4 linked regions of the Lytechinus pictus genome follow. The protein of the gene in region 4 binds, or shares a complex with, the protein of the main gene of each other region. Links are inferred from orthologs where the notes say so. Each region holds a gene or a part of one and is shown on either strand. Other genes may lie near its edges. The genes, in order: cysteine-rich PDZ-binding protein-like, protein CWC15 homolog, smad nuclear-interacting protein 1-like and U5 small nuclear ribonucleoprotein 40 kDa protein-like.

Region 1 (8,421 bases), on a different chromosome or scaffold from region 4:
TACTACTACTACTACTACTATTATTCTTATTATCATTATCACTGTTGTTGGTACTGTTGTTGTTGTTGTTATCATTATACTGTACTACAAGTTGTAAGCACCTGTTTATCATCTATTATAAAACGGAGTGAAAGCTGATGATGTGACACTCATACATCTTACTATGAAATATTTTATTTCCCTTCAATAACGTTAAACAGTAAATCTTGATTAGCTTTCTTACAGAACATTGTAAAATTTTCAATGAATTAATTTTGTTACAATTCAGTGAGGAAATTCATCCTTGAATTCATAAAAAATGAAAATATTTGATATTTTACATAATGAAAATGAAATACAACATAATATATAATATCGTCAGTGAATACTCTTCATTAAAAAAGAAGGTAGAATCACGAAAGATAGTCACTACAAAAAAATTTCACTGCAAAATTTTACATACAAACTGGTATGCTAAAAAGAAAAAAACAAAACAAAGTCCACTTGCCTGTCGTGTTCCTTGCTCCTTTTTTCCATGGATCTGGTGTTACTACTTTCCCAAGTTTCTTTTCACCTAAAAATAGTTAGAAAATGGAATTGACAAGCAAATAATTAATGCAGCCTAGATGAAGGTGATCATACACTCACTTTTGTCAATTATTCTAAAAGACTGATCATCATCAATGATGAGCTGCCCTTGGTAAAACTAGTTACAACAATTCTGAAGCAAGCCAAGTTTGGTTATTAAGAGCCTGTCTAAGGCTTTGGTGAAACATTTAAAGTTAAAGGGCCAATAAAGTGAATTATACTTGTGTATCATCCAACAATCCAACCTTACAAAAGTATAGTGACCATTAAGTCTTTCTTCAACCATTAGAATTAAAATTTGGCTTGGTTTTTGTATCTAGCACCCTTTCTCTCTCTCTCTCTGCAATGTTTTCTTAAAAAATACTTGATTCCTTGAAGTTGAACACTACATGTAGTTAAACGAAAGTAGGTAAACATTTACTTAAGTTAGTGTATTATCAGAAACAAAGAAAGATACAATTAATAGATCTACATCTTGAATATTTTCAGCCCATTCTTTGCTTGAACCAGGTTTCATATCATGTGAAAAAAAAGGGGGAAATTGCAGATATACCATTGGGCACCCTACCAAAATGATCGAGTAAATCTAGACCTTGTTCATTGAATGAGTGATCTAGATACGAGTCTACTGACTGTAAATTCATTTTCATACCTTCCATGATTCACATCAATACAGACAGTATTAGGACATTTATGAAATGGAAAAGTGCAGTGATAGGCCTCGATGTACTTGGGGGAGGCCGGGAGGGGGTACCCGAGCTATACTTAGAATAAAGTTGAAGTTAAACTTAAAAGGGAATTTCACCCGGAAGAAAGTTTGTTGTAAAAATAGCAGAAAAAAATAATTAAAAATATCAGTGAAGGTTTGAAAGATTAAGAAAGTTATTAGAATTTTAAGTTTTGGATCTGTGACATAAACGAACAGCTGTCCCATATGTTTTGTAATATAAAAATTAAAATGCATGAATTTCAAGTTTTTTTAAATAATGGTCTGTGATGACTCACTTATTTTTATTTCATTTTTAGGAACGGGAATTGGGAGTGAAATAATTTGTCTATTGTCTACTGAACATACCGTAAAAAACATTTTCAATTTTCTGAGAAAATTATATTTCATTTCATTGATTTTTTCCATACAATGTGTACTGTAGTAAAGCTGCTAGCATATGACGTCACAAATCATATCATTAAAATTCAAATACTAAGGTCTAAGTAATAGTCTAGATCTCTAGCTTCTACACTCCCTACAGTATTGAACTTTCAGACTCAGTGACTTTTTTTCAAATTTGTGTCATCATCATCAGTCTTGGAGGTCTCGAGGCAGGCTTTGCCAGTCCTCTGCCTTGGCCTCGTAATGCCGTGACTCGGACTCGTCCTCGTAGCATGCGGCCTCGATGACTCGGCTCGAGGCAGGAAGATTTAATACTAATCTGGTGAATTTAATAGTCAGTATTATTCACTATTTTGAAGTATTTTTCCAATAATATTTCATGGAAAATGTATATCCTACGATTGATAATAAAGTTGATTTGCCCATGATTTGCCTCAACGCTAAAAGCTGTGCACATCATTGCATTGCACTGTGCAGCTGCATGTATTGTGTATACGAGTGCAAGGGTAACTAGGCTGTATCGTAGGGCGAACTCGGCAGTCTATAAATCACACTTCAGTTGAACTGTTTCTTTCTCTCTTTTTTTCTTTTTAAGATATAAAATCCTTGTTTCTGAGATTCTTACATCTTGAAGTTTTCAAATTTTTTCATTGATATTTAACACATGATATTGAATAAAGTAGGAACATTTGGTATCATTTGTTTAGAGTAATACATTTTCTACAAATTTTGTACACAACATATTTGTAAAGATGGTACTATTGATGTAATGATGTTTGAATGAAGAGCAACAAATTGTTCATGCTTTTGTAAAATCTTGAAATGGGTAAGACCCTGTGGCATCAAAGACACATTATGTTGTATTTCTTGCAGGCACTGATATTTGCAAACGAGTCCTGGATGTTCTGATTATTCGACTTATGCGACTTCGACTTACGCAGAGTTAACTCATAACTGTACATAAATTATTATTTACCTCAAAGTCAACAGCTTTCCCTTTACTTTGTCATTTTTTCTCTTTAATTGTAATTGATAAAGTATTTGTTGATTTGAATCAATTGACAATTGTTGATTGGGTGAGTGATTGTTTTTGATTGATTGTATGATGTCAAACTAAAACTTTAAAGTAATTTTAAAAGGTTTAAAGTAAACAAATTAAAATATGACATTTTAATTTGGTGACTCGGACTCGGACCATGGTGAATCGACTACAAGACTGATCATCATCATCATCATCATCTGGTACAGGATGAAGGCGCAAGCCTGTAAGTGTAACTCCCGGTGGCTTCTTGTAGGATTGCTGAAAACCACTACGTCTACGAGTACGACTATGGACGGTACTTCGTGTTTTGGACATGGATTTTTCTCAAACCTTCAGCAATATTTTTCATTATTTTTTCTGCTAGTTTTATAAATAAACTTTTTGTTAGGGTTAACTTCTCCTTAAAGACAGGCTTGAAATACAGGAAGCTTACAAGTCATTGATATCAACAATAATAACAAACTCAAAGTCAAGGATCCGCTATCACTCCACTTGCCCACATATTGAAAACTGTGTAGTGTTTAACTTTAAGCCCTAAACCAAAACCAAAAATACATTACAAAAAAGGCCAAAAAAGTGAGTTTCAATTTTAAACAATGAAACTTCACTACTATAGATATAATTTATAAAATGCGAAATCATCGGCATGTCTACTTACATTTCTCGCACACCATCTTAATCTATCAAAACTTCATTGAAAGACAAGAAGCCGAATATTCAGGAAGAGCGAAAGACGATTTGTTTTGTCAGATATTTTGTGCTGCTCAAATCGCTAGAGGGCGGACTTCATCAAATCGCTCGAGGAGCTTGTCTTCTCCAGTGATGACCAGTCAGTGGTATTCTTTCGAATACAACCGAATATGCCATGGTACTTGTAAACAAAGACTTTAGAAAAAGCTGCTTGGAGTGTTTTTCAAATTAATTTTCAAACAATATCTCAGTAGATTTTGGGGTGTTAAAATTTTAAAATTTGTGAGCGAGCGAGACACAATATTCACAGGGGCCGCGCCCGGGGGGCGAAATTATTTTTCCCACCGAGTTCTGGACCAACATATGAATATTCATGACTTGCGTCTTCGGATTAAGAGTACGCATGCGCGTGGACTCTGCCTCGACCAGTGCTGGTCGTAAGCATTCACGTTCAGTTGCTCAGAATGAATATTAGCATCGTCAAATTACCGGTACTCTTACATAGTTACATATGCCTTATATATATCCAATTCTTAAACACTTTTCAAACTAGCTGCCATTAATGGCAAGACATGTGCTAGGCTAGGGCTCGCTTAGGCTAGCGCATTAACTTTACCTCAAATCTGGACCTGTCTAATGCCTAGTACTAATCAGTGTTGTAGTGCCTTGGCCTTGAACATTCAAGCCTTGGCCTTGGCCTTGAGGATTTTGAGCCTTGAAATTTCAAGGCATTTTCAAGGCATTTTGTATTATGTACTTTCATTTGTTTTATAAGTAATTATAAATGTTTCAGTTTTTTTTAAAATATTTAATGACACTATAATGGTCAATACTACCAGTCACCAGTAACATTAGCAGCAGCAGCAGTAGTAAGTGTACTAGCAGTGTCATCGATTGTAATTGTCACCATTATCAAGAATTTTCAAACAAAGAATACATCAGTTATGAAAATTAGCATTATGTATTGGTAATGTGTTGTAATCATGACTAATGATGATAATGACAGTAAATAATAATGGTCAAGATCAAGATAATAGTGCTTTGATGACAAGAATAAATTTGACATCTGACTGCAATTTTGACAAAAATTTTCGTACTTTAAACATAGCTAACTCTAAAGCACGATAACAAGGTTGATTTCTATTCCATTAGGATTTTCCTTGTATTATTTTCTTTGGCCAACAAGAATGTTTTAAGTCTTCATGATATTCTGAAAAGATTTGGTAAACTTGAACACAGTCTTCAATTTTGTCATATCCAAATGGGTTATGTCAATGGCATGATGAGCCAGAAACTTTGAGGGGCCAAGCATGGCATATAGAGCAACATTTCTGTCCAAAAAAAAGAAGAAAGCGATTGAAGCAAGCGAGTGAACAAAATTTGTCCCCCTCTTTCTATAGGAAAAGCTAATTTTGCGATAGATTGTTTAAAAAATAATATCACATTTACTCCATCTTTTCCTTTCCCTTCCCCCCTTATCTAAGTGTGTTCTTGGTGGTGGAACTTCTTCTTCTCTCTTTTCTAAATTGTATATTTGTTTTGGGTCAGATTGACAAAACAAAGGGGGAAAATGTTTACTTCTTTTTAATCATATATCGTTCAACAGTGAATTTCATTTCTCTACAGTTTCAAGGAAATAAACAACGTATTTGTTTTTGTGTCAATATGGTTTCAAGAAATAATGATTAATAAAAAAAAGTAATTGAATAATTAATTATTATTAATATTATCAACAAGTATTAATAATTAATGATTGATTAACTGTTTAAAGAAATAATTAAGATTTACCCTCTCCCAACTAAGGGTATGGGGTGCGCCCTGTTTACTTTATATCCTTTTGAATATAACTTTATTTTGTTAGTATTCTTTATTCTGTTTTTTTAAGGTAAAATAAGTGTAGAAGATACAAGAAATGAGAATTGAAATTTAAAAGTGGTTGTAAGCAGAAAAAAAAAGAAAGCTGACAAGAGTCCTAAAAAATGACTCATTTTCAGTTTAAGCATTTAAAAATTTTAACTTGCGTTTTGTGCTCTCTAGCCCCCCCCCCCCCCAAAAAAAAAAATCCCTGTAGGATTTTTATTTCCAAATGAAATATGCCCTTTTTAAAAAAGAAATATACCTTCTTTAATAATAAAACATAATACATTTTAGGTTCGAAAATCACAGATTTTGAATCGTGCTTGCATCAATTATTGTTTAGTACAGTACTAATCCTGCTCATGGTAACAAAAATGTATAGAATGTTGCTTAATGGTTGGAATATCACAAATTTTTGGCTGGCTTCCTGCACTCGCATCAATTATTGTACTCGATCTCTTCCCGTTCACAAAAAAAAATGCTTAGAGTGTCCAGTTTTCAGGTTGGAATATCACAAATTTTTGAGCTCGCGCTTTGTGCTCACACTTTTTATAAGGCTTATGAGATTATTTCATGTTTATGTTGTTTTATAAGAATAAAACTAAGAAGTGACTGATCGGGGAAAACATAGGTGAAATAATTTCGGGCCCCGTCCCCTATTGGCGAAAGTCCGATCCGCCCTCGTGACACATACACACACACCGGAAAAAATGGCCGGTGGCCCCCCCCCCCCGAAAAAGCAAGGACCCCCCAGTGCCCCCCCCCCCATAAAAAAAATCCTAGCTACGCCACTGCATTGCATGGAACGTATTATAACGTCAGGCACAAACTAACGTCAGTGATCTTGATCCCCGTCTTCCCCCCCAAATTAAGGATTTCTTAGCTGAAAAATAATTGACAAGCAAAAAAAAAAAGATCTTCACGTTCAAAAGAGGGGACATAAGTCTTTTTCTGTTGCATTTTGACATTACAAATTATTGATTTGGCTTCTCAAAGGGGGGAGGGCACGTCCCCTGGATCAGTTGTAAATTGTCAGGGGGCAGTCTGCGCCCCCCCCCCCTTGGTACACTAGTTGTTCCATGCTGATACAGCGTAGATCAGAGTCTAGATCTAGAGACTAGACTAGAACTAAGATATTTTTTAGATCTAGGACTGGTTCTGTATACGGACTAGAAATATTAAACCATGTTAAATAAAATCAAACGTAAAGTTCGGAATTTGGTTCGAAGTTTTAAACCATGGCATTAGTCGGCTATTACTATTAGTATTAGGCATTAGACAGGTCCAGATTTGAGGTAAAGTTAATGCGTTAGCCTAAGCTAGCCCTAGCCTAGCACGGTTACACTTCGTAATTCCGAAGGTTCGTAATTCCGAAGGTTCTTTATTCCGAAGGTTCGTAATTTCGAAACACGAAAATTGCCTTTATTAATCCGAACATTTGTGGCGTTATTCCGAAGGTTCGTTATTCCGAAGGTTCGATAATCCGAAAACGAAATAAGGTTCGATGTACCGAAGGTTCGTTAATCCAAAAACGAAATAAGGTTCGTTGTTCCGAAGGTTCGTTAATCCGAAAACGAAATAAGGTTCGTTAATCATTTCGTTTTCGGACTAACAAACCTTCGGAATTACGAATCTCATTTCGTTTTCGGATTAACGAACCTTCGGAATTACGAACCTCACTTCGTTTTCGGACTAAGGAACCTTCGGAATTACGAACCTCATTTCTTTTTCGGACTAACGAACCTTCGGAATTACGAACCTTCGGAAATACGAACCTTCGGAATAACGAACCTTCGGAATATCCGAACCTTCGGAATAACGAAGCTTCGGAATTACGAATGTATGCGGCCTAGGACATGTCTTGCCATCATTAATACTTGTTGATAATATTAATAATAATTAATTATTCAATTACTATTTTTTTATTAATCATTATTTCTTGAAACCATATTGACACAAAAACAAATACGTTGTTTATTTCCTTGAAACTGTAGAGAAATGAAATTCACTGTTGAACGATATATGATTAAAAAGAAGTAAACATTTTCCCCCTTTGTTTTGTCAATCTGACCCAAAACAAATATACAATTTAGAAAAGAGATAGAGAGAAGAAGAAGTTCTACCACCAAGAATACACTTAGATAAGGGGGGAAGGGAAAGGAAAAGATGGAGTAAATGTGATATTATTTTTTAAACAATCTATCGCAAAATTAGCTTTTCCTATAGAAAGAGGGGGACAAATTTTGTTCACTCGCTCGCTTCAATCGCTTTCTTCTTTTTTTTGGACAGAAATGTTGCTCTATATGCCATGCTTGGCCCCTCAAAGTTTCTGGCTCATCATGCCATTGACATAACCCATTTGGATATGACAAAATTGAAGACTGTGTTCAAGCTTACCAAATCTTTTCAGAATATCATGAAGACTTAAAACATTCTTGTTGGCCAAAGAAAATAATACAAGGAAAATCCTAATGGAATAGAAATCAACCTTGTTATCGTGCTTTAGAGTTAGCTATGTTTAAAGTACGAACATTTTTGTCAAAATTGCAGTCAGATGTCAAATTTATTCTTGTCATCAAAGCACTATTATCTTGATCTTGATCATTATTATTTACTGTCATTATCATCATTAGTCATGATTACAACACATTACCAATACATAATGCTAATTTTCATAACTGATGTATTCTTTGTTTGAAAATTCTTGATAATGGTGACAATTACAATCGATGACACTGCTAGTACACTTACTACTGCTGCTGCTGCTAATGTTACTGGTGACTGGTAGTATTGACCATTATAGTGTCATTAAATATTTTAAAAAAAACTGAAACATTTATAATTACTTATAAAACAAATGAAAGTACATAATACAAAATGCCTTGAAAATGCCTTGAAATTTCAAGGCTCAAAATCCTCAAGGCCAAGGCCAAGGCTTGAATGTTCAAGGCCAAGGCACTACAACACTGATTAGTACATAGGCATTAGACAGGTCCAGATTTGAGGTAAAGTTAATGCGCTAGCCTAAGCGAGCCCTAGCCTAGCACATGTCTTGCCATTAATGGCAGCTAGTTTGAAAAGTGTTTAAGAATTGGATATATATAAGGCATATGTAACTATGTAAGAGTACCGGTAATTTGACGATGCTAATATT
Region 2 (8,419 bases), on a different chromosome or scaffold from region 4:
CAAATGTGGATATAGGATAATCAGCTAGTATCCTACAGCTTTATCTCACTTTTTTGTCATTCACAGATTTATTCAATGGACCTCCACTGTCTGTAGATTAAACTAGAGATGCTCGGCGGGTCGCGCGGCCGAGCACATGTATCCCCCGAACCCACCGCGTCATCCGTCATTGCGATATATAGAGCTCACACAGATATTCGACAAATAAATACAATTGTCATGGCGACAATGACCCTGCCCACATTTTGCCTGTGGGTACCAAATTTGATGACAATAATATGACGTAGCAGCATGACTCTGCAGAACCTAAAATATTGTCCAGTATCATGTGTTGGGGAATACAATTATAGAGTAATCTGGAAATATTTTATAAACCTAACCCTAAGACCCCCCAAAATGATAGGCATCTTCGCTTCACCTTCTAATATTGCTTCTGAGTGCCAACTGTTATTTTCCACAAAAATATGGTTACCATGGCAACCAAGTCTCCACCCACTCCAAAATCATTAGGCGGCTTTGCTTTACCATAATGGACCTTCATGACAAATCAGAAGATAATTGGAGAAGAAATGCAGCCAATAGAGCACTCACATGGAAATAGCTGCTATTTCCACAAAAAACTCGTTACCATGGCAATGATGTCTTCGCCCACACCAAAATCAATAGGCGACTTTGCTTTACGATAATGGACCTTCATGCCACATCTGAAGATGATCGGAGAAGAAATGCAGCTGTTAGAGCGCTTACAAGGACATCTCTGCTATTTCCACAAAAACTTGTTACCATGGCAACGATGTCTCTGCCCACACCAAAATCGATAGGCGGCTTCGCGATACCACACTCAACCTTCATGCTACATTTGAAGATGATCGGAGAAGAAATGCAGCTGATAGAGCGCTCACAAGGACATCTCTGCTATTTCCACAAAAACTTGTTACCATGGCAACGATGTATCTGCCCACACCAAAATCAATATGCGGCTTTGCTTTACCACACTCAACCTTCATGCTACATTTGAAGATGATCGGAGAAGAAATGCAGCTGGTAGAGCGCTCACAAGGACATCTCTGCTATTTCCAAAAAAACTTGTTTCCATGGCAACGATGTCTCCGCCCACACCAAAATCGATAGGCTTCTTCGCTATACCATACTCAACCTTCATGCCAAATTTTAGAAAATACACTCATATCTAACTCGATACAGTGTACAGACACTTAGGCCATGAGAAGTAAGGTATTAGATTTGCATCCGAAAATTTTTCAAATGGCATGAGGCTTATTATTCATTATCTAGCGCTAGCGGCCGTGTACATTTTGCTTATTACATGACGTCATCCCAGCCACTGCATGCCGAGAGCCAATTTATGAATGAAAATATAGTAAGCATGCGCATTGCATTGCAAGCCTTCCATAGCCCCACACAGTATTCCACCAAAACAAGTGTGCAATTCTCTATCACCTCGTACCAAAATCGACCTAGAATTTCACTTTCCTATATTTTATATGAATTATGAAAGGTATTCTCGGAAGATCTATTTTCTCACCGATACCGCACAGGTAAGTGAATTTCGATTACTTCTTGCTTTTCGGTCAAAATCTTACGAATTAGCGTCGATATGGCATCGGGTTCGTTGGAGTTTGTAGAGTCTATCGCAACGTGTACAAAGTCAATTGATTTCCGGGTTTGGGAGCGTCGCGTGAATATGCATGAAATTACTGAGTTTCAATAATTTTTGATCGATACTGGAGCGATCCGATCACGAACCAAGACCATTTCCCGCGAAGACCATGTGACCGGATATCGTTATCGCTTTCGATACTTTCGCACGCAGTCCGAAGGAATTATTTTGGCGACCACGTAGTCATGACGTGTTCTGCGCGATTGGCCAATCAGCGATCTCCGATTCGCTTAGCCGAGACAGTCTATCCGTTGTACACAGTCTATGGACAATTTGCCACAGCTAGCTTGCTGTGCGAAGATCGAAGGTGCGCTGCAGTGCTATACCGTATGCACGTAGTAAGTGCGTATTTACTGCCCTGCGATGATTTGGAAATTGTAATTTCGTAATTTCGTGAGTAAGTAAATGATTTTTTTTTTTAATAATGAAATTTTCGTGCGGGTGGTTTTGGAGCATGCGGGCGGTGGACGCAAATCTAAAACTTTCATTCTCTTGGCTTTACCTGTATTTCAACTTTGTATGCCCTGGGAGATCACGACTGGAATACTGCTTGGATAGAGCACTCAAATCCCCTTCTCCTTTCCCACTGCCTCCCTTTGCTGGGTTGAACGTTGGTCGTGCTGCTGTTGTCATCTTCGGCTATCTATCCTTCCTTCGTCGACTACTGAATTTGATATCAGAGAAAACATGTAATCTGGTTACACTAGAAGCAGAGATTAACCAAGTAAACACAAAACATTTTCAGAAAGTTTTAAAAAATAAAATGTCTTCAAATTCTTTAGGCACTTTGAAAACAGCAAACTTACATGCTACAAGGGGCGGTTACAAAAAAGTTGCAAGCAAAGAAAAAGGTCTCCAAATAAGTAAAATGTGATACCAACCTAATTCATGGCATTTGAACCTCCATCTGATACAATTATCTTACCTTACCAAAACTTGTACACATGTGACATGCAATACATATTTAGACAGATAGAATCTAATCATAATTTTTTTTTAAATCGGACTAAAATTGTATAAGAGTAACAAATTTCAGGCATTTCATGTGACGACCTAAAAATGCAGCCTTTCTCGTCAAAATCCCTGAATCGTGTGTAAACATAAAGTGAATGGATCATTGACATTGGTAGACCAAAAGCTTCAGTCTCTGTATTTTGGTTGTTCCGCTGAACTACGTTGGCTCCACTCACCATACATAAATGGGTAAATGGGGATTACAGTAAAATGTCAGAAATTGTTGAATAAATCCCCAGAAACGACGGTTATTCCTGTCTATGACATTGGGTGCAGTGCGCGCACGCAGGCATTTGTTTTGTACTTCAGTTAACTTCAAGTCAAACTGAAATTTAAAAAGAAATGACTGGCCAAGGTTTTTTCCAAGAAAATCACATATTTCTCTCACACTTTTTATGAATTGTTTGGCAGACATACGGTAGGTGACATGACACCAATTTCAATGTATGGGACTGTAAATGATTTTTTTTCGTGATCTGATACCAAGCAGGGAGTCATTAAATGGATCAAGCCAAGGTAATGCAGGTGTTATATTTCTGTACAATTGCGGGAACATATGTGGGAGGTAATGCATTCATACATGTAGAGAGGGTTATGAATCTATGAAACGAGAAGCATAAAGAATAATTAAATCTATAATTTAGTTGTGAAACTCCACTTACCCAAACTAAACAAAAACGCAATTTCGCAAGTCTGGCTATAATCGAGTCGCGATTGGCGCCATCTACAGGTAAAAATGTGAAGTACAAATTTCGACAAAACGGAAATACCGTGGATATCACAAGAAGAAGAAAGCTAGAAGACATTTTTTTTACTTTTCAAAGTAAATTTTATTTACAATAAAAAAAATTTTACAAATAAAAAATATGTTATCAATGTTGCGCTTTACACTTACAGTGATCGCATTTCAACCACTAATTACGGGTAACATGTAAAACAACAATTAAGCATGCATCGATCGTTAAAAAAAAGTAAGCATAATAGTTACAGGCATTGATTATAAGAACAAGAAACTGTGATGCCACCTGGCACGAGTGGAGGGCAAATAGGACTCAAATATAAGAGCCGCTAAAAAAGAGGGAGATATATGTACAACTATCAATGCATAAAAAAATCAATAATATTAATGCAAAATATACATACTTAGATTAACCATCATCTAAAATGAAAAGTTGTTATAAGACTTTTTTTTCAAAAGCCAAATTGTTCTGTACTTTAAGAAAAAGGAGAATATTTCACCGGGAAAAAGAGAAAAGGGAGAAGGAGTGAAAGGGGAAAGGGAAAGGAAGAAAAAAAGAGGAAAGGGGGAAACTAAGGGAAAGGGAAACGGCCAGGTGAAAAGACTAAGGGACAGGGAGAAAGAACATAAATAGGGAAAATGGAAGGAAAGCGGGAAAAGGAAGGTGAAAAGAAAGTTCAAAATATCCTGAAATACTAATATATTAGCATGATTAGCAAGAGAGGGATATAAAATAAAAATTTAAGATATGACTCAATGATACGGGCAAGAATGGCGGGAAAATGGGAGAAAGAGACAAAAATAAACGGGAAATGAAGGTAGACCCAAAATGGCTAAATTGGAAAATCAGAATATGAAGAAAATGAACAAGATAAAAGAAAGAAAAGAATTTAATAAAACGACCGGGCTGCCGAGAATAGAAAAATATTGAGAACGGGAAGAAAGGTGGATGGCGTCTATATGAGCATGCTAAATTTAATGCAATATGGTCGCAATCAGGACAAAAAAAATAATACTAAGGGCTAGTTATTAAATCCCTCTATGTCCTATAACCTAAGTAAAGCTTTATGCTGGGTATCGAAAAAAGCCTCATAATGTTTGCTATTTGGCTATAGATTTCCAAAGCTACTATCACATAATTAGAATTTCATTTCAAAATCATTTGAAAAGGCCAAATTTGCTATGCTGTGCTGCCTCAAAATATTTAGTATATTATCCGCAACTGCGTTGAAGTTATGTGTTTTTATGTGTATATACCCGCGATTTGATAAAAAAGGTAGCCATCTGCAATGTTTAAAAACATCATGGTAGAATTATCCTTAATATTAATAATCGGTCACATGTTTCTATTGACTCAATTCATGAAATAATGGAATGGCAAACCCTGAAGTCTAGGCAAAACTTTCATATTCAAACAATGATGTTTAAGATCCTCCATGATTTGGCTCCCAAATATCTAACAAAATACATATTTTACACCTCAAGACCTTACCATTTTCGAAAAAATAATTTGTGCCTCCCCAAACCCAGAACTAATTATTGCAAACGCACATTTTTCTATAGGGGGACTAAGTTGTTTAACAGTATCCCAAATAATATTCGTAATTGTATGACCTTAAATTCTTTTAGATCAGCGTTGTCACATTTGAGACATTGATTTCTTTTTTTTGGGGGGGTGGGGTAGTGGGGTAGGAGTAAGCAAACTGATAGTGATTTTTTTTTTCTCTCTCCTTTCCTTTTCTTTCTTCCTTCATTTCCCTCTTTTGTCTTTTCTTTTCTGTTCTCATTTTCCGCTCCCTATATGACTCTCTTTTTACTTGGTCCCCATGGAAGACCAGCCGCACATATAATTGGTGCAGCTGAATATGGGTTATCCAACCGTCTCCTGTCTTAAGTTTGATCTTTTAACTTTCTTAACATGTTTCAATCAATCATTTTTTTTTCTTTTCTTTTTTTTAATCAATGTTTAGAATTCATTTCATTATGTATGTGTATGTTACTCCTTGTATCTCTTGTTTATATATTGTTATGTATTTTTTATGACGGAAATAAAACAAACAAACAAACAAACGAGGTTCCGCCGCGGCGGCGGCCCCAGACATAGTGACGGACCAAGGGGGAGGCACGGGGGGGGGGGGTATTTGCCTTCAATGAGTTGGCCCCCCACTTGCTCCCCCCCCCAAAAAAAAAAAAGTAGAATGTTGTCTAAAGCTGCAAAGTGCTCGATCAAAACAGCTTTTTCGTTCTTTATATTTTAAAAACTTTCTTATCCATTCACTGTATATAGCTCAATTGTCAACATAAATCTTTCAGGCCATAAAAGTATATAAAATTAAAATTTTCGCTCGCGCTACTTGATCTCAGTAACTGTTGACTGAGATCATTTACATGGGGCTTAAAAGTCCAGTGTTCAAGTCAATATGCTCCTCGCGACTAGAGTTTTTTAGCACTGAGATGATACACATCCTGCGTATTCATAATTTTCATAAATCAAAATCAAATTATTGTTTAGTAAGATAGCCATTCAGTTCATGATATTATAAAGTGCTTCGTCCAGTTATCATCTCAGGATACCAAAAATTATCAGCTCGTGCGCTTCGCGCTTGCATTATTTATTTGGTGAGATATCATCTTCATGACCCAATGCAAACAGCTATATACAGTCCCTTTTAAAGCCAGGGCCTGCATTGAAAACAATCAGCTCACGCTTCTCGCTCGATTTTGTGAAATATAGGCAAAAAATCGTGTTGCCCCCCCCCCCCCCCACCAATGCCACACTGCCCCAAACTCTGATCCGCACAGCACTGGCCCCCAAAGGTTCTGCAACCGAGAAAAAAAAAAAGATGAAAGGAAAGGATAGGAAGATTTAAAATAAATTATGATGCTATTTTCTGAATACCATGGGCGGTATCAATCAAAATCAAAGTTAGATTCATGAAAGGGTGGGTTTTTTTCTCGCTATAGCTCGCTTCGCTCGCTCGAGACTTATATTTGTGTATTTGTATATTTAGTAGCTTTTGCCTCAGGCGCGCCTGGCTCTTTTTTTGTACTTATCATTATACGCTTCGGGCACAATCATAAAAAAAATATCCTGTTCAGACCATGATAAATCATGTCCGGGAAATTTGTTGCTCTTGCCCCCCCCCCCCCCCCCTCACCTCTCTAAGAGCAGTTCATGATTTGTGCTCGCATAGTGTGTTTTGAAGTACCCTGACGGTAAGTTGTTCTTTTTTACAATAATAATAAAACAAAACAAAAACGTGCTTAAAATGTTAAGCGTGTTTCAAACTGGCTCCGGCTTTGCCCTAACCTTAATAGAATGAGATAATGATCCTCTGCATGACTTACTGCAAATTGAATTAAGCCATGATCATTACAGATCTATTAATTTGAAGTAAAAAAATACATAAATAAAATAATAATGAAAATTCAGCTCGATTCAGTGCTCATATTTTTTTACTTCATGGTCCAAAAACTTAATGTTTTCATGTTATTCACGAAATATCCGAAATTGGAACTCGGCTTTGCGCTCGCATTTTGAATTAGGGGTTACATCACCTTGTTTGTATAATGATAATGTGGAAATGTACTAAAAAAACTTAGGTCTTTTGTTGCCTGGGAATATATAACCCTTCAAAATAAAAAATACTATCTACTACCACAACTAATAAGCTTTTATAGCGGCCTATCGGGGAAAATGGATGAAAATATTCACCAGATTTTCCTAAAGTTAATTAATTGCCAAGGTGAGTAAAACTTGAAATTATAGGACAAAAACATCTGCAAAGTATATATGCCAATTAAGACAACTCTTAATTGGCGTGCGGAAAAAGTAAATTTCAAAAAATATTCAGAAGAAGGCCATACTATCTTTGTTATAATCAAAGACCAAATTATCAACTGGTGGATCGAGCAGGCGGGCTGTCGATCCCCTCTTTCAGCTGGTTCCCTGATGAGCTGTTAACTTTGCTTTCACATCACGTCCTTGAAGGACTTCTCCTGTATAGGTTTTCCGGTCTTTACTTCAGGTATATGCTTGACGATTATCTAGCCGACAGTTTAAATTTGTAAAACTTCCCGCGTTGAGAAATGGAGGTTTTAACCCCCCCCCCCCACATAATTGTACAACAGATGTTTAAACCTTTCCAAATAGAGAAAAAAATAAATCAAACAAGCATAATAACGCAGTTTATCAAATCGGATGTAAAATAAAAATTAATAGTGATTTTGATGAATGATTTTCACCATCAAGCTTGTTTGATATCGATTTTTTTTTCGGTATCAGTTGTTTAAATCAACTTTGGGTGGACTCCCTTTTAATAATGTCCCTTTTTTAATAACAATAGATGCATTTGAGATCTGCCCCTATAGGCCTATATACCACCGTCCCCGGAGTTATGTAGTCCTAGAATTATAAACCTTTAATTCTCTATTCCAGTCCAGAGGATGTCCCGGAGGATCATGCCGCATTTCATGTGCAACAAATTATGAGAAAAATGTCAAATAGCTAGCTATAACGAGAATATTAATGCTCTAAGTCTTCCGAATAAAAGTAATTTTCTTAAAACGGAAACTTTCAATTAGCACCATAATATCCTTTTTGCATTAATTTTTATTGTAAAAGCAAGGAAGAGTTATTTGAATGTTGCCCTCTACTGTTCACTGATACCGATAATTTTGGCAGCCTAATTTGATCGTGAACTTATTATTGTTTATGGAATATTATAAGTCCTGACAGCTCAAATAACTCAAAAGCAATGTTGACCACAGCTATTATTTGGCTGTAATTTTTCAGACTTCAAATATAGACCGAAGAATTTGGTGAGTACCTGATAATTCGCCGATTAAATGGTTGTATTCCGAGTGATATTCATATTGATGATATTCGACTGTCACTGTCGTGTCGGTTGATCGATGAAGAGCGGTGATGATCCAGCAAGTACCCCGGAACTGTGGGCGAGGTAACCCAAGAGGCTCCGCTGAGCCTG
Region 3 (8,070 bases), on a different chromosome or scaffold from region 4:
TTATTGCTATGTCCCACAGGGGAAAGTTATTTTAAACAAGTGGAATGCCTCTGGCCGTCTCACCTGCATCACGCGATTCAATATAGCAGCAGTGCTGATTTTGAAAACTACTATAACTCGCACAAGATCTTCAGTGATACTTGGTTACTCTTATTTCCACGTTTTATGAACTAGACCAATACACTTATAGAGATATGATGGCAATTCAACAAATACCCCCAACGTGGCCAAAGTTCTTTGACCTTACATGACCTTTGACCTTGATCATGTGACCTGAAACTCGCACAGTATGTTCAGTAATACTTGATTACTATTATGTCCAAGTTTCATGAATCAGATCCATAAACTTTCAAAGTTATGATGGTAATTCAACAGATACCCCCAATTCGGCCAAAGTTCATTGACCCTAAATGACCTTTGACCTTGGTCATGTGATGTGAAACTCATGCAGGATGTTCAGTGATACTTGATTAACCTTATGTATAAGTTTCATGAACTAGGTCCATATATTTTCTAAGTTATGATGACATTTCAAAAACTTAACCTTAGGTTAAGATTTTGATGTTGATTCCCCCAACATGGTCTAAGTTCATTGACCCTAAATGACCTTTGACCTTGGTCATGTGACATGAAACTCAGGCAGGATGTTCAGTAATACTTGATTAACCTTATGGCCAAGTTTCATGAACTAGGTCCATATACTTTCTAAGTTATGCTGTCATTTAAAAAACTTAACCTCAGGTTAAGATTTGGTGTTGACGCCGCCGCCGTCGGAAAAGCGGCGCCTATAGTCTCACTCTGCTATGCAGGTGAGACAAAAATGTTTGTATAATAAACAAAGACAATCTCAATTTATCAAGACATGATTTCTCCTAGTTCATTAGAATTTTCTCTATTTAGACGTTATCGTTTGCAGCTTTCTGGACAATCCTGGTTTTTCAACCAGTAGCGTAGTCTGATCTAACTAGTCACTCAAGGGTTCATTACATGCCGCTGCACACAGAAAAATCAAGCCATAGAAGTCGTGTGTTGTGGACACCAGAAGTGGGATCGCAGCACGCGCGACCCACTAGTTAGAAATCCACTGCCAAACGCGGTTCATGGTGCGAGGTTAGTATACTAATACTGTCCTCGCAATACATGTGACTTTTTGTGAGTGGATCTAGAGTAGACTAAAGCTAAGTTAGCCCTCTTTAGGAGATTAGCTTTTGTCTATCACTATTTAAAGTTGAAACTAGCGAAGAAAAGGTCTGATTTTGAATGCGACTCGCGACTTTGAGTCTGAAAGAAATCAAAAGACCCATTATAATCTCAGTCGTGGGGAAATAGATTAAAAAAGAAATGAGAAAGAAGACGAAGATCATAATGATGATCATGAAATGATGAAGCGACGACGGCGACAATGATTGATGTCTGATTAATAAACACCCACGGCTACATCTCAGCCGCCGACTACAGAATAATTGAAGGCACGGCGCATTCAACAAATAACGTTAATTTACGAAAAATTAATACGAGGACTTACAGAATGAAGTCCTCCTACGAAACTAACGAAACGATGTGAAGTCAATTCCTCATAATTTGATGAATATCCCTCAAAATGCGTCATTTAAGCGTTGATTTTACTTCTCGTTGACAAAATACGAAAGCTACTGTAGGATTGTTAATTTGTCATTTACCTACTTTGTTTATTTCCTTTGACTTGTGTTTTCTTAAGGTGTTTTACATTTCTGTTCTGTCTAGATCTTAGTTCATTTGCATTTCTTTTCAGTACTGCCCTTGCAGTCTGGACTAAGGTTATTTGAGTTTAATGATATTCAGTTGTCATTCATTCATTCTACTCTGAATGCCTTTCCTGTGTTTCTCTTGTCATCTTCATTCCTTCTCTATTCTCTCTTCAGGTGTTCCACTCATTCCATCCCTCACCTGACTCCTTAGTTTTTACTTCCATTATTACATAATCACCAGACATCTTTGTCATCTCATCTCATTCCTTATTGGTTTATCTTATGAATTGGGTTCTTACATTTTAGTTCGATCCTTCCATTTTCTTTAGTTTGATTGGTTATTTCTAATTTAAATATTTATGTAAATTATACTGTGATCCAAAGTTAAGCTGAGGCAAAATAGCCCAGATATTAAACAGTGTACAACCAGACTCCTTCGGTTTAAGTTCTCTTCATTTTGCGTCTGCTTCATTCCCCTTCAGTTTGATGATTTAGAACTTCATTTATTTTCAACTCCAAACATATAATTTTCTTCAACCCTACACTACCTTTCTAGCTCTCAAATTTTTCGTCTAATGAGCGAAAGAGGGCGCGCGATTTATCTTCATATCAAAGACACTACAATTGAAAGACTAGACACAGAAATTATCTTACACGTAAATCGATGCAAAGCGTTACGCGAAGTCGGCAGTGTTCAATCTTTTTACTGTAAAGACTTTGGTGGAACATTAATTGACAAACGAACGGTAGCACTTGCGGGGCTTTGTTCAAGGTACATAGAATTATCTATATTTTTTGTTTAATTTGTCATCGTTTTGAATATTTTCCAAAAAGTATTATCGTCAGCAAAAATAATAAAAAAGTACTTTTTTTAAGTTATTGCATTTATTGGGGTCTCTATTTTATCAAACAATTATTGGAATTGCGCATACAATGAATCATGAATCTAGTTTAAAAAAAAACACACAGCTGAATTAAGGTTGTGAACTGTATTAGCGCCACCAACGACCTCCTTATTATTTCCGTGGAAGAGACGTGCGAAGCCACTTTCCAGGCGGAGGTAAGCGATTTTGCTCTTTTTTGTATCCTTTTAAATTAAAAAAATATGTTAAAAATTGAAAATGGAACGCTTTATACCATAAAAAGCCCTGGTGAGTAGCGGAATGGGTTTCGGCTAACATCATTCACGTTATGAAGCGATGTTAACGACAACTCTAAAATCCACTACAAAAACATGATGGTTGTGCGAGGACGAGGTTCGTATACTATATTATAGGCCTAGTTAGTATAGAATATACATTTATAGTTTAAATTATACTAACCTCGCAATAGTCAGTGTGAGTGATTAATAAATGATGAAGATGATGACAGGGGCAAAACGGTGTACATGATTGACGAATAAGAAATAACAGTCGAAGTTTCCATCCATAGCCATAGCATAGGCTATAACGTTAGGTATTGCTTCGGCTTTTGAAATTAGTTTCACCATACATACCGTACCAGCCCGCCAGCTGCCCTGACCTCGCGCCTCGCCCGGCCCTCGGGCTAGGGCCGGGTTAATTTTTTGTGCATGTGCCATTCGAGGTGTCGCAGCCGGCAGCCGGATCTGTTTGGTCTGAAATTGTAATAAGTTGCTCCGCTACGTACCGATTTTTCAGAGCGATGGGATTTACCATCCTTTTCTCTGTTACTAGTTTTCGGACTTCTACTGCGAGATCTTGGTCTATGACTACGATGTCTATCGTAATCGTCGTGGCTTCGATGTTTTCTTGAGTCTGACTTTGATGACATTTTTCTCTATTCTGCAAAAACTACATTAATGCCCAACGGAAGATGGCGCTATAAAAGAAATCAAAAGACCGTATTTCTTTTAACTTTATTTGGGGAGGAAGAGATAGAATAAAACGCAAGGTTCTATATCAAGACTATTCTGTTGGAGGACTGAGAGCTCCAAATTTTGAGGTCTTTGTTAAGACCCAACGAATAATGTGGATTAAACGTTTGCTAGATGGAGGGAAAAGTTCGGGTTGGAAAGCAACCTTCGAATATTTTTTTAGCTCTTTAGGTGGTCGAATCATATTTCTGTGTGATTATGATACGATTAGAATGAATTTAAAAGGTATACCATTATTTTACATAGATATGCTGAAGGCATGACACGAATTGGATAAGTGTAGACATTTTGGAGGGAAAAGTAATCCCATTATTTTTAATAACAAGCGTCTATGCCTTAATAATAAGACCTTTTTTATATTGAATTATTTCAGAAAGGTATAGTTAAGGTCTCGGATATAATAGTTGGAGGTAAATTAAGACCAGTTTCATACTGGTATAATCTGAAATTTTCATCTGAAAACTTGCTCAAAATTCAAAAGATATTTTCAGTAATAACAGAAGAGTGGATACAAAATGATTTTATGGAAATGGATACAGACAACTTTGAAATTCAATTGATGATATGTGGGCATGTTCAGAAACTATGTGATATAAAATCTAGACGAATATATGACCACTTCATTGAAAATTTTCAAATTGATTATGTGCAATGCTATGCAATAAACACAGAGAATTTCAATACAAACAATTACAAGGGGCTGTGTACACAAAAAGGGAACTTTTTAAATTCGGTTTTGAGACAGATAATTTATGTTCCTTTTGTAAAAAAGAAGTTGAGTCTTACCAACATTTATTTTTTTATTGTCCTGAAGTTAAGCGATTATGGGAAGAGATGAGTAAAATATTTCAACTGAATGAACTTGGCAGTGACGTTTGGAAAACAATTTTCATGGGGATATCTGGAAATACTACAAGAGTAGCTTTAATAAACTGTATTATATTCTTAATTAAGTATATCATTTTTAGTTCAAGAAAACAGGGAATATTGCCAACCGTACAGAAAGTGACACATTTGGTTAAAGAGTATAGAGATACGGAATATCAAATAGCGTTTAAAAAGGGGAAGCTGGGGGTGCACTTAAGGAAATGGGAACAAATCAATGCATACCTTTCTTAATACTATGGATGTATTGGTTGCTTCATTTTGTTTCTGTTTTGTTTATTTGTTCAAATACAGATAATTGTACCAGAGCAGGATGCATTGTGTGTGGGTGTACGTGTGTAGATGGATGTGTGAGTTTTGTGACGGGGAAGAGGGGGGGGGGGAGCTGTGAGTAGTGGTGGTTTGAAGTGAGCTTGTGTGAGTGTCTGGGGAGAGAGATGAGGGGGGGAGGGGGTATGGGGGTATGGGGGTAAGGTGAGTGTGTAGGGACGTTTTAGGATAACCTTCCTCTAATTAACCTTTAAAATAATATTTTATCCTTTTTTTTTTCTTTTTTTTCGTACAATTAATATGTGCAAAAGAGATTATTTCTATTCTATTCAGGGAAAAATTCATTTTTTACAAAGTACGTTTTTTTTATTTTTGTCGATTGATACGGGTTTTTCCCCTCTGCTTTCACATTGTTATAGAAGAGAAATTTGGCAGTTTAATTTAATTTGTAATCATTTTAAAAATATTCGTAATCTCATTGATATTGATATATTTATTTGTTTGATTGTTTATTGATTGTATACATACAAAGAATCTTTATTTATATGAATTGTGATTGTAAACTTATTGATTTGAAAGAGGAAGAAAATAAAATATTATTCAAAACAAAAAAAAAGTATCTCAGTCGTGGGGAAATAGATGAAAGAGAAGAAAAAAGAAAAAAAAATGAGAAAGAAGAAGAATAATGTAAGAAAGAAGACGAAGATAATGATGATAAAGCGACGACGACGACGATGATGATGATGATTATGATCAATATGATGACAGGTGCAGATCTAGCTTTTTTCTAAGGAGGGGATTTTGACCGAGAAATTTGACAAGCAAGCAATAAAAAAAAAATGTTGGTTTTTTAATGGTTTCACTATCAATAGAAGGTCATTTGGGTACCGAGAAATGTTCTTGCAAGACAAAAAAAGGGGTTCACTACCAAAAGGAGGTCCTTTGAGTACTGAGAACTTTTTACACCCCAAAAAAGATGGTTTTAAAAAAGAAGGTCATTTTACCAGAAAAAAAGGTTCACTATAAAATGAAGCTAATCAGGGGTTTGATCCGAAATGTAGATTATTACTTTTTTTTACTTGGCAGCCCAAGAGAGGGGTTAAATCCTTAAACCCCAATCAACTGGGTGCCAAACAAAATACGAATACATGGGATTATTTTGTATTTGTAATGTGATTTTAACGGAGGGAACTATAGCTATATGCTTTCCAGAAGGTTCCCATTTCATTTTAATATATGCTGTATCATAATTCCGGCACTTTTTTTTATAGTTTTGTTGAAAATTTGAAATGAAATGAATTTGTTAAATAAAAATGGTAAATCAGCTCAGATTTCTTATTCATGAAAAATTGTTTTTCAGTTTGAAAATTCCTGAAAAAAAAACTAACTGGCAAAAAGTGTTTTCAGATTACAAAACATTCTTGGGAGTTGTATATTGTGAAATATAAGATAACTTTTTGCCAGTTAGTTTTTATTTTTATTTTTCCCCAAGTAATTTATGGAATCACACAATGACTACCACTTTGAACAAAATATGTAAATCTGAAATCATGAAGAATAATGGTTTTCAGCACCTTTTTTTAAGAATAGTCTAATAAAAGTGTTTAGGCGCTTTGAATATTTGAAAATCTGATAAGATACTTGAAATATTATATATTGGTTGAAATCTTGAAAATCAGCCCCCAGATATACAGTGCGTATACAGTTTACATTTAGAAATAATGCTGTAAAATTATAGATTTGTAATATCCTGAAGCTTTTTTCCACATGTAACCATTTGTACAGATCTCCTAAAGCAAATGACGATATATAACTGTGAGTACCACTTAAAGGACAAGTCCATCCCAGCAAAAAGTTGATTTGAATAATAAAAGAAAAATCCAACAAACATAACATCGAAAATTTCATCGAAATCGGATGTAAAATAAGAAAGTTATGACATTTTTAAATTTCGCTTAATTTCACAAAACAGTTATATGCACATCCTGGTCGGTATGCAAATGAGAGAACTGATGACATCACTCACTCACTATTTCTTTTTTATTTTATTATATGAAATATGAATTATTCTAATTTTCTCCTCATTGTCCTGCGAAATGAAGTTTTATTCCTACCTGAACATGTGGTATTACCATTCTTATAACATCTTACGGCTCATTTGCAGGTCACTGAGTTGTGCATATAACTGTTTTGTGAAAAATAAGCAAAACTTTAAAATGTCATAACTTTCTTATTTTACATCCGATTTTGATGAAATTTTCAGCGTGATGCTAGTTTGATTTTTCTCTATTGATTCAAATCAACGTTTTTCTGGGGTGGAATTGACCTTTAATATCATTTTCAAGCTTGGGAAAAGTGTGGAGAAACCCCGGGGGATAAACAAGTATTAATGAAATGTGGTCCCACTTTAAATGATAAAAACTTAGTGCGGCATGTAGATGTCTGAAATAAACTTTTGTTTACATTCAGTTGTGTCCTCAGATCCAGCTGGCACAAGAAAGGAGTAAAGGTTGAGCGTACTGTTTTTATTTCAATTCGCTAAAAATACAAAGGAAATGTATGAGAAATGTACCTTACCACACGGTTAGTTTGCTTTCGCCCTTTGTGCTTGACATAGCGTCAAAATGAGCATTTCTGTGCAACCGATTTCTGCAAGCTTAACAAAAATCAATGGACAGTATATTCACTCAAGTGTAACATTCTGTCAAAATGTTTACTTTTATTTGATAGATGTGACCCAAACCCAAGTATATAAGTGAACAAATTATCACCATGTTGTATATTTTTCAATTCCCAGGACTTTTTCAAAGTGTATTGATACCCATTGTAGATAGATAGATAGAGAGAGAGAGAGATGGAGAGAGGGGGAGATAGATATATGAGGAAGGGATATAAATCAGGCTTATGAATATCCTTAATTCCTTTCTTTATTATATAATGATCAATTAATCATTCCATATAGCGGTAATATCTTTGAAACAGAAATTGAATGAAAAAAGATGTGGATACAGGAAATGAAACATGCGATGTCACATGGACCTGGGAAGCGGGGGTGCTGGGGGTGCTGAAGCACCCCCAGAAATTTTCATGGGGGTGCTGCGTGTATTATTTTCCATAGGCAGCACCCCCACGAAATCAGGTTCCCCCTGTATTTTTTTAATATGTTTTAATTTACATAATTATCTCATCCGACAATCGCAAATCATTTACATAGTATTTCACATATTCCAATAACATCCCTCCTACAACTCGACTCAATCAAGCTCCGGCACTCCGATACAGACGTAGTCGCGC
Region 4 (8,068 bases):
GGTTTTGGCTGCACAGGCCGTGCACAGTTTCACTGCAAGTGGCATCGCTTCTGTCCTGGCTCTCTCCTCGAAAATGGAGTTTACTGTGCATGCGCAACTTGTGGCCTGCGATTTTATGCCTTTTTTTAGACAGTCGATGATGTGCACTTTCTGTACATGTAAGTTTCAATATGGATATCGCGGCTTTATCGCCGCTTGAAAGTTCATCAAATTTTTGGATGCGTAAATGACCGAAATTTGTAATGGTAAGTAAAATATGTTTCCAAACAAGGACGCCAACTCTTTCTGTTAGTATTGATCTGCAAAATATCAAAATTTGAGCTGATTCTATCAACACGCAGGCCAGATATAAGAGTCTCTCGGCAGTCTCTCGGCAGTCAAGCTGCCCGATGCCGTGGGCTGGGTGACGGGAGCGGTGGATAGTGAGTTGTTCATGCTGGATTGAATTGGATCTTGAATTGTTTGTTACTTGATAATATTGTGCTTTTTTCTGAAAATTTCTGTCATTATACCATAGATTTATTATTCTGATATTGATTTTAATACATACATTTTGTCGCAAAAATACATTTTCCTCCCAATGTGACTCAAGGTGGTTGATTGTTCAATCACGTTTCATCATTTGGAAACTGGATTTGCTTTTGAAAGTGAAACATTGATGTTGACTTTTTTAAATTAAAATGCAAAATCTATGGTGTTTATTTTTTTTCTTTTGTAGAAAAAATATATATGGAAACTTTTAAATCATGTTTCATTATTTGGAGACTGGATTTGCTTTTGAAAGGGGAATAGGCCTATCATGAATGTTGACTTTTAAATTAAAATGCAAAAATTATGTTGTTTGATTTTTTCACTCAAGATTGTAAGGAAATACATGAAAACTCAGAGGAAATAATTGTTCATTTCCACATGGGTCTAGTCCTGTATTTTTTATCAATCTTTTTTCCCCCCTATTTTTTAAATTTTCCTTTTTTTGCATGAGGGTTGCAGGTGGGGGGGTTGTGTCTCTAACTGGAAAATGGGGATGGGATTTGTACAAGTTTTTGTGTCACTTTTGTTTCTCTTGTTTTTAGTGTTGTTTGGAGCTTTGATGTCTGTTTTTGTTGTTGTTTAGAGCTTTGATATCTGTTTTTTTTTCAGGTTTTTTTTTTAAAGATATAGACCACTCGTTTCCTTTTCTTTTGTCTTCAACCAATAATTTGGTGCCTTTCAAGTTTATCAATGGAGAGATTGGTAAGTTTGGATTGTGAAGTTCTTTTCCACAAAATCTTGCTAATTTTGTTGTTTTGTTTCATAATAGTATGGAAGTATGTCTACATTTATATGCAGTGATTTCACTTTAGAATCTGAATTTATTCATTTTTCTTTTTAAAAAAAAGGGAGCTCAAACAGGGCCTTCATAATATGTATACAAATCTAAGAAATGCATTGAAAACTGATAAAATATATCAAAGCTTAATTAAATTGTAATCAAATGCCCAGGGTCTCTAAAATCAAAAGCTATTATAGGCCTACATGTATAACAAATTGTTGAAACTATAAAATACATAAGAGAAGGAATTGGTGAAACAATCAAATACATTAGAAAATAGCACACTTGTACATTATTTTTAAACCATACAAAATACAAAATGATAATTTTCATGTCAAAAAAGACCCCATACATATATGTATACAATACTGAAGTTGAAAAAAGGCTTGTAATTTATACCTGAAAAACAAAGAAATACATTAGAAATTACAAAAACTATACTTTAAACAATTTCATTAAGAAAATTAGGAAAGATTTCTTTATGTCCCCTCCACTAATTAAAAAAAATACTTCTCCAAAACCCCCTTCTTTCATTCTCTTTATCTTCTTTTTTTCTTCTTACTTTAGCTTGGAACTTGGATTCGAACCTCTCGCTGCAGAACGAAGCATCTCCAGTCTGTCGCCTTACTCACTGAGCTACATGTACCAGGAATTGTTGAAAGCCATGGGTTTCATAACGGTTATCGTGTGTCGGTTATCAACCGATATTACGACTAGTCTACTCTCCAAGAGTATTGGGTATTTATTTTTCTGACTAAATAAACCGATGACATTGGGAATTACACACACTCGAGATTTTGACGGAATAAAGCCACATTTTGGTATCAGGTATGTATCCAACTTTTCCTTCCTAAATCTCTTAGATATATGTTAGATTGAAATTGAAACTTTATTTACCACAATCTTCATAAAAAACCTACAAATCAAGAAGTATAAATATTTCAATAAAATACATTTTAACACAAGTGAGTATATTTAATTCTTGACAAACCTTCTCCATATTTTTTGTTTAATTTTAGGGAAGTCTTGCCGAAAATTATCTCCCACATGATGCTGTTTCGATGCCAACTAAATTTCATAAATTATCTATCATGATCACCATCATTTGGCAAAAACAATGCATAATTGGAATAATTAATTTGAATTAATTAGAAGAAATTATTGTACACATATTAAGAAAAAAATTACAAAGTGACATGATTACACATCAATTGAGCGTTCTTTCACCTTTCCATTCATACCAAAATTACTCCAAAGGGCCCCAAAACAAAGAAGTTAGAGCCTGTTGAAGACTTGGGTTCAAAAGGTCACAAAAATCGGTTATGTATTACATTGACTTTACATTAAGAATAAGACATCGGCCACACATTTAGATGAATATGCGCAACTTAAACTGAAATAACTTTATAATTCCTTGATGAAAATTAGAGTTCTTGGTATCATTTGAAAGGCCTTTTAAGAGTTTTCAAATGACACCAAATTTATTGATATCACTATCAGATAATTTTTTTATTATTTTTTGTCACATAACTAGGCCTAGTTCAAACTGCATTAGCGCCAAGGAATTTCATGAATTTACCGTCATCTGTTGATTCTTTGCACACGTATGTCAAATTAAGGGAGCATTATTTGTATTCAAGTCACCAAAAAAAGCTAAAAGCTGGGCATAGACAAACATTCAGAAACTCTTCTCTCCAGTCATTTCAGAGTCTACCACATAGGAAGCCATCCCTGTTAACGGTGCGTGCAATTAGTATAAACCGCCTCTTCTCTGAAGTCTATCACGATTTCGTGATTGTAATGTTCGCATGGCACGGAAGCTAAATCGCATAACTGGGAATACAGTCGTATGATAGTCATTGTGAGAATGTCGAGTAGTCTATTCTTGCTTACTAAAGAGTAAAGTTAATTCTTACCGCTTGCATGAGAGCATTTTGTTGATTGCTTGCAGCCACAAGTTCATGATGCTTCGATCTTTTAACTGCAACTAAAGCACCTTCCTCTGCTTTCCGTTTGTGGTCCATCACCGGCATGATTTCGAGATGTGCAAATGTAAACTAAAAAAAAATACGGTGGGCCTTCACTGGATCCATGCACCGTGCAAAGTTAGCTGGCTAGATATCATTGTAAGATGGCGCTATAGTAGTTGGCATTCACAGAGATACGATCTTACGGTGTCACGCGCGTAAAACATTCCCCATAGACTTGTGTGTTAAAATGGCACTTCAGAAAAATTCATAAAAAATAAATGTGAAATTAGAGGGTCGAATGTTTACTACCTTTGGATAGGATATATATCTGACATTCCATATCTGACCAGAGAAGGGTATCGTAGCCAGCTCATTTTAAAAATAAATCGCCATTTATGAAGATAACTATATGATGGGATCAAATTCATCAACTGAAACAGTAAAATAGCCCCAATTCTTCCGCCAGTCAAAAATAATTCCAAATCATTGATATATCTTCCCAATTTGGGCAAAGGAAGCTCAGTAGTTACCATTTCTAGAAACAGTGTTAGATTTTGAATCATATTCATACACTTTTGTCAATCAGCAATATTAAATTGAAAAAATTCGAATGGGTTGGGTCGAACGAATATCTTTAGCCCTCCTAATGTAATTAGGCTCATGGCACCTTTATTATATGACCTATGAATTTTATTTTTTTAAATAGCTACTTTGCTATTCTTTTATATCTGTACACTCACGCTAGCACAAAGAAATGCATTGAAAATGCCTATTTTCTATGCAATGACCCATTTTAATGTGTTACTCATATATGTTATATTCACTATATGGATGTCTACATATCCTACCTGCATATAGCCCAACAGTGAATGCAATGACAATATATAAAGGCCCCTGTTCACCTTGTAATATAAAGGTGTATGTAAATTTTGTGTAGATATCAGGATACCAGAACTGCCCCAATTATATAATTACCAGATATACATAAGATTGAATGAGGAAACAATAAAAGAATGAGAACATATTACTTTAGTACATTTGCATTTGACCTATTACTAGTATATCAAAATCTTCCTAGGGCTATTGCCTATCAGATGTAAGAAGGAAGAGATACATAAATAGATAGAAAGAGAGAGAGAAAGAGAGAGAGGGAGAGAAAGAAAGAAAGATAATTTTATAGATGACATGGCTTATAAAGAGGGGGGGGGGGGCTAGACTAAGATTGGAGCACACAGCCACCCCCCCCCCTCCCTCCTTAGTTGAGCACTATTAGATACCTTACCTTACTCTGTGCCTTTTTCTAAATACCTTCTTGAAGGTACCACTCTAGTTCTCTTCAGTAAAGTTCACAAAGTTCTATCTCCTCTCTACCCCATTCCAAAGAACAATTTTAACATGAGCAATTTGTAAAGTCTTTCTGAAAACAGAGGAAGAAGTTCTAACTGCAATATTTTTACCTAATTTTGGGCCATAATACACTGTTACCATGGCAACGCAATTTCCAACACATGCAAAAAATGTGTATTGCACATCTTTACCCCCAAGACCAAAATATATACATACACACCAACATTCAACCCCCTCCACCGCCACCCTTCGGCTTGTTTAGCATCTGCATTCAGATATTTGGTGCATTGAGATGCGAGGACAAACAGAAAATCTGTTCAAAAGGGGTCTGAATTCAAGAACTAAACCTATGCAAAATAATGCACTGCTATTGAGTTTTGCACTAGCGCTAGTCTATATATCAGACCAATCTAAACTCATAAATTCTGACATTTTCACCCATTTTTTCACTGTTCCTGCAGCCAGATTTTTTGGAGCATACCCCATTTTTACTTCTTATACATAAACAAAGGTCTGGAGAAAAAATCATGCTTTTGTCCATCGTGTCCACATAATTTCGCTAACAGACCAGGGGCGGCATTCTGAGGTCATTTTATCTTTAAAATATTTTATTTTATCTCTTAAAATGAAATTGGTATTCTGAGATGACATTTTATCTCTCAGATAAAATTTAAAATTTTATCTTGCGTATAAATTTTATCTTGCGTATCTATGATGATATGCAAAAGAGCAGTGGCTGCGTAGACATACCCATTGCGTATCTGGCCATTGCAACGCGGATGATGTGCTTGCGCCCAAGTTACTTTGAAGAAAAAATAAAATAAACTTAAAAGAGGGTAGGTGCTATTTTATCTCCGCGACGTTGATTTCGTCAATATTTCTAGGTGAATTAACTCCAAATGTTGGCATGAAAATTAAGAAAAATGATATATTCATTGAGAACAACACCATAAAGTTATTCCTGTACAATCAGGAATCATTTCATAAGACTTTTCTTGACTAATATCGTCTTTGAAATGATGCTTTAATAGATGCGATATAGACTTCGAAAAAAAGATGAGATTATTGCCATTTTTGTTTAAAAAAAAGAAATCTCTGTAAAGACGCGCAAGCGTATTGAAGTCAATAAATTGACGCAATCTCACTCCTTCGCCACACCTCCTAGCGGAATGGATTTCCATTGGTTGAGTGATATGAGAGAGCTATAAAAGCGCGTTTCTGATTGGATATTGATTGAAAAATAGGTGTGTCTTACAGAGATAAAATGAAGATAAAATTGTTCTCAGAATACCAATTCGGAGAGATTTTAAGGGTATTTTATCTCACTGATTTTAACGGAGATAAAATATTTTATTTTATCTGAGATAAAATGGATCTCAGAATACCACCCCTTACTACTATGGTTTTACAAGTAGTGAAAAAAGAGGAATTGAAAAAAAAAAACAGAGAGGAATACAAAGAGAGAAGAAAGAATATCATAAAAAAAGGTATTGGTATTTAATTTTCTGTTACGCTGTACTTCAACTGAGAAAAAGATGGGTCATCTTGTCCCCCCCCCCTTATGGAACAAAAACATGGGGTAGCCCTGGCACACATATTAACAACCACACACAATTCACATTGGATAACATTTTTTTTAATAACAAATCAGACCATTCCAATCAGACAATAACTCCACAATCAATTTCTTTATCAATCAAATCAACAGAACACACAAAATCAGAAGGGCACATACTACTACACATTGTGCTACGAATGCATTTCCAAACACCCCCAAACAAAAAAAAAGAGAAGAAAGAAACACATAAACAGGGTCAAATTTCCTCTTTTAAAATGGGGATGCTTCAATTAAGTGCCATTTATGACATCCAGGGTCTAACTTACAAATTCTGTCTTCATTAACTAGGGTTTTTATGCCACTAAATATTCTTGACCTGTGTGATTACTGCATTAACACCATTTTGGGTATGTTTATGATAAATATAAGGTACCAATTTTAGTTTGTGTCATATGCCATTAAGGGCCCTTTTTGTGTTGGTGCCCATTGGTCGCAAACAATATTTGGTGAGTGACCAAATAACATCCAACTGCAGGAAAGAAAGGGGGAGAAGAAGGGGGGGGGGGGAGAAGAAGGGGGGTGAGAGGGAGGGGGGCAGATGGAGGGTTAGAGGGGGGCAATTGGAGAAAGAGAGAGAAAGAAAAGGAGAGCATGGGTAGAATTGGATCTGAATGAAGGCTAAATATAAAAAATGAATGAATAAGTCAGATAGATAGCATAGCTCATCCTACTATCCAGAGTCATACATCAACAACAAAAAGATGGCAGGCCAAAGTTGCTTGTAATTCTTGTCAGTTGTCATACAATGTGTATTTTTCATAAGTCAAAATGTACATCCTTTATTCCACATGAACAATAAACTCAAAACTTTCTGAACAACAAGTCTTTCATGGAAAGCCATTCACAATTTTGAAAACAATAAAAACAAAATGCATGAATGATTACAAATACCACTGGCGTAAATCCGTGAGTCACACCTATTCTTCGGGGGGGGGGGGGGATGGAACAATAGATCATCCCCCCTGAACAACAGGTGTGACGCAAGGATTTACGCCAGTGACAAATACATTTTGCCGGATACCCCCCCCCCTTTTTTTACAACTTTTACTACCTTACTTTGACATAAGGATTCAAGTGACAGTGACATATGATATCATTGAAATATGTTTTAACATGTGAATTTGTTGCTCTCTTCCTTGATATATACAGTATGCAAAACATTCATGCTAGGAATAAGGATGTATTGTAATACTGATCCACTGATCTTTGCGGAAGTGAGGGCACTTTCACTTGTGATTGAAAAAAAATATCACATTGTCACTTGTTTTTTTTCCATCAAAGCAGGGTAAGAAGTTGTATAAATAAGGCTACTTACATTTCAATTTTTAAAAACATGAATTACAAGAAATGACGATTGTAATTTGGACCATATAAAGTGACAAACAAATGAATAAGAGTAAAATGTGGAACTGAACTGGTTTACACCATGGTGAGGAGCAAAGCTATGTTTACATACAGTTCTATCAGAATCTATTGGAACTACTTCAGAATTGAAATGAGAAAGTATCCCAAATTTCTCTATTTTTCTTGCAAAAAGTTTGAAAGGTTTTGAATTATACAACAAAAACAGTACCGGTAAATAAATTTACGACAGTGTTATAAGGTAACTTTAGGAGAAGACACTTGTGGAATTCCTGTGGGAAAAGACGCAGCTCTGAATGGGAGTCAGTTCACATATTTCTGTTCATCTATACAACACTTTGTACTGAAAATCCATTATCGTTCTTTTTCAACTTACAATTAAGGGCTAGAATGAACATTTTGAGGTTTAACTGCTGTTCAATTTTTCCTTAGTCCAATATATACATTTGCCATGTTTAA

The links.
Region 1: U5 small nuclear ribonucleoprotein 40 kDa protein-like (region 4) and cysteine-rich PDZ-binding protein-like share a complex: the UniProt entries of both Homo sapiens proteins name them as parts of the minor spliceosome. The link is inferred for Lytechinus pictus from reciprocal best matches to the Homo sapiens genes SNRNP40 and CRIPT.
Region 2: U5 small nuclear ribonucleoprotein 40 kDa protein-like (region 4) and protein CWC15 homolog share a complex: the UniProt entries of both Homo sapiens proteins name them as parts of the minor spliceosome. The link is inferred for Lytechinus pictus from reciprocal best matches to the Homo sapiens genes SNRNP40 and CWC15.
Region 3: U5 small nuclear ribonucleoprotein 40 kDa protein-like (region 4) and smad nuclear-interacting protein 1-like share a complex: the UniProt entries of both Homo sapiens proteins name them as parts of the minor spliceosome. The link is inferred for Lytechinus pictus from reciprocal best matches to the Homo sapiens genes SNRNP40 and SNIP1.

The regions. Positions count from the first base shown.
Region 1 is NC_087251.1:29,280,583-29,289,003, reverse strand, and holds the start of cysteine-rich PDZ-binding protein-like, read right to left. Parts: upstream 3,764-8,421; 5' UTR 3,395-3,763; coding exon 3,379-3,394; intron 554-3,378; coding exon 488-553; intron 1-487. UniProt on the Homo sapiens protein: As a component of the minor spliceosome, involved in the splicing of U12-type introns in pre-mRNAs. Involved in the cytoskeletal anchoring of DLG4 in excitatory synapses.
Region 2 is NC_087260.1:19,048,925-19,057,343, reverse strand, and holds the start of protein CWC15 homolog, read right to left. Parts: upstream 3,700-8,419; 5' UTR 3,588-3,699; intron 3,443-3,587; exon of another isoform or gene 3,355-3,442; intron 2,343-3,354; 5' UTR 2,312-2,342; coding exon 2,181-2,311; intron 1-2,180. UniProt on the Homo sapiens protein: Involved in pre-mRNA splicing as component of the spliceosome. Component of the PRP19-CDC5L complex that forms an integral part of the spliceosome and is required for activating pre-mRNA splicing.
Region 3 is NC_087248.1:10,825,712-10,833,781, reverse strand, and holds the start of smad nuclear-interacting protein 1-like, read right to left. Parts: upstream 3,564-8,070; 5' UTR 3,519-3,563; coding exon 3,375-3,518; intron 1-3,374. UniProt on the Homo sapiens protein: Required for pre-mRNA splicing as component of the spliceosome. As a component of the minor spliceosome, involved in the splicing of U12-type introns in pre-mRNAs. Down-regulates NF-kappa-B signaling by competing with RELA for CREBBP/EP300 binding.
Region 4 is NC_087245.1:8,205,738-8,213,805, reverse strand, and holds the start of U5 small nuclear ribonucleoprotein 40 kDa protein-like, read right to left. Parts: upstream 3,721-8,068; 5' UTR 3,346-3,720; coding exon 3,229-3,345; intron 1-3,228. UniProt on the Homo sapiens protein: Required for pre-mRNA splicing as component of the activated spliceosome. Component of the U5 small nuclear ribonucleoprotein (snRNP) complex and the U4/U6-U5 tri-snRNP complex, building blocks of the spliceosome.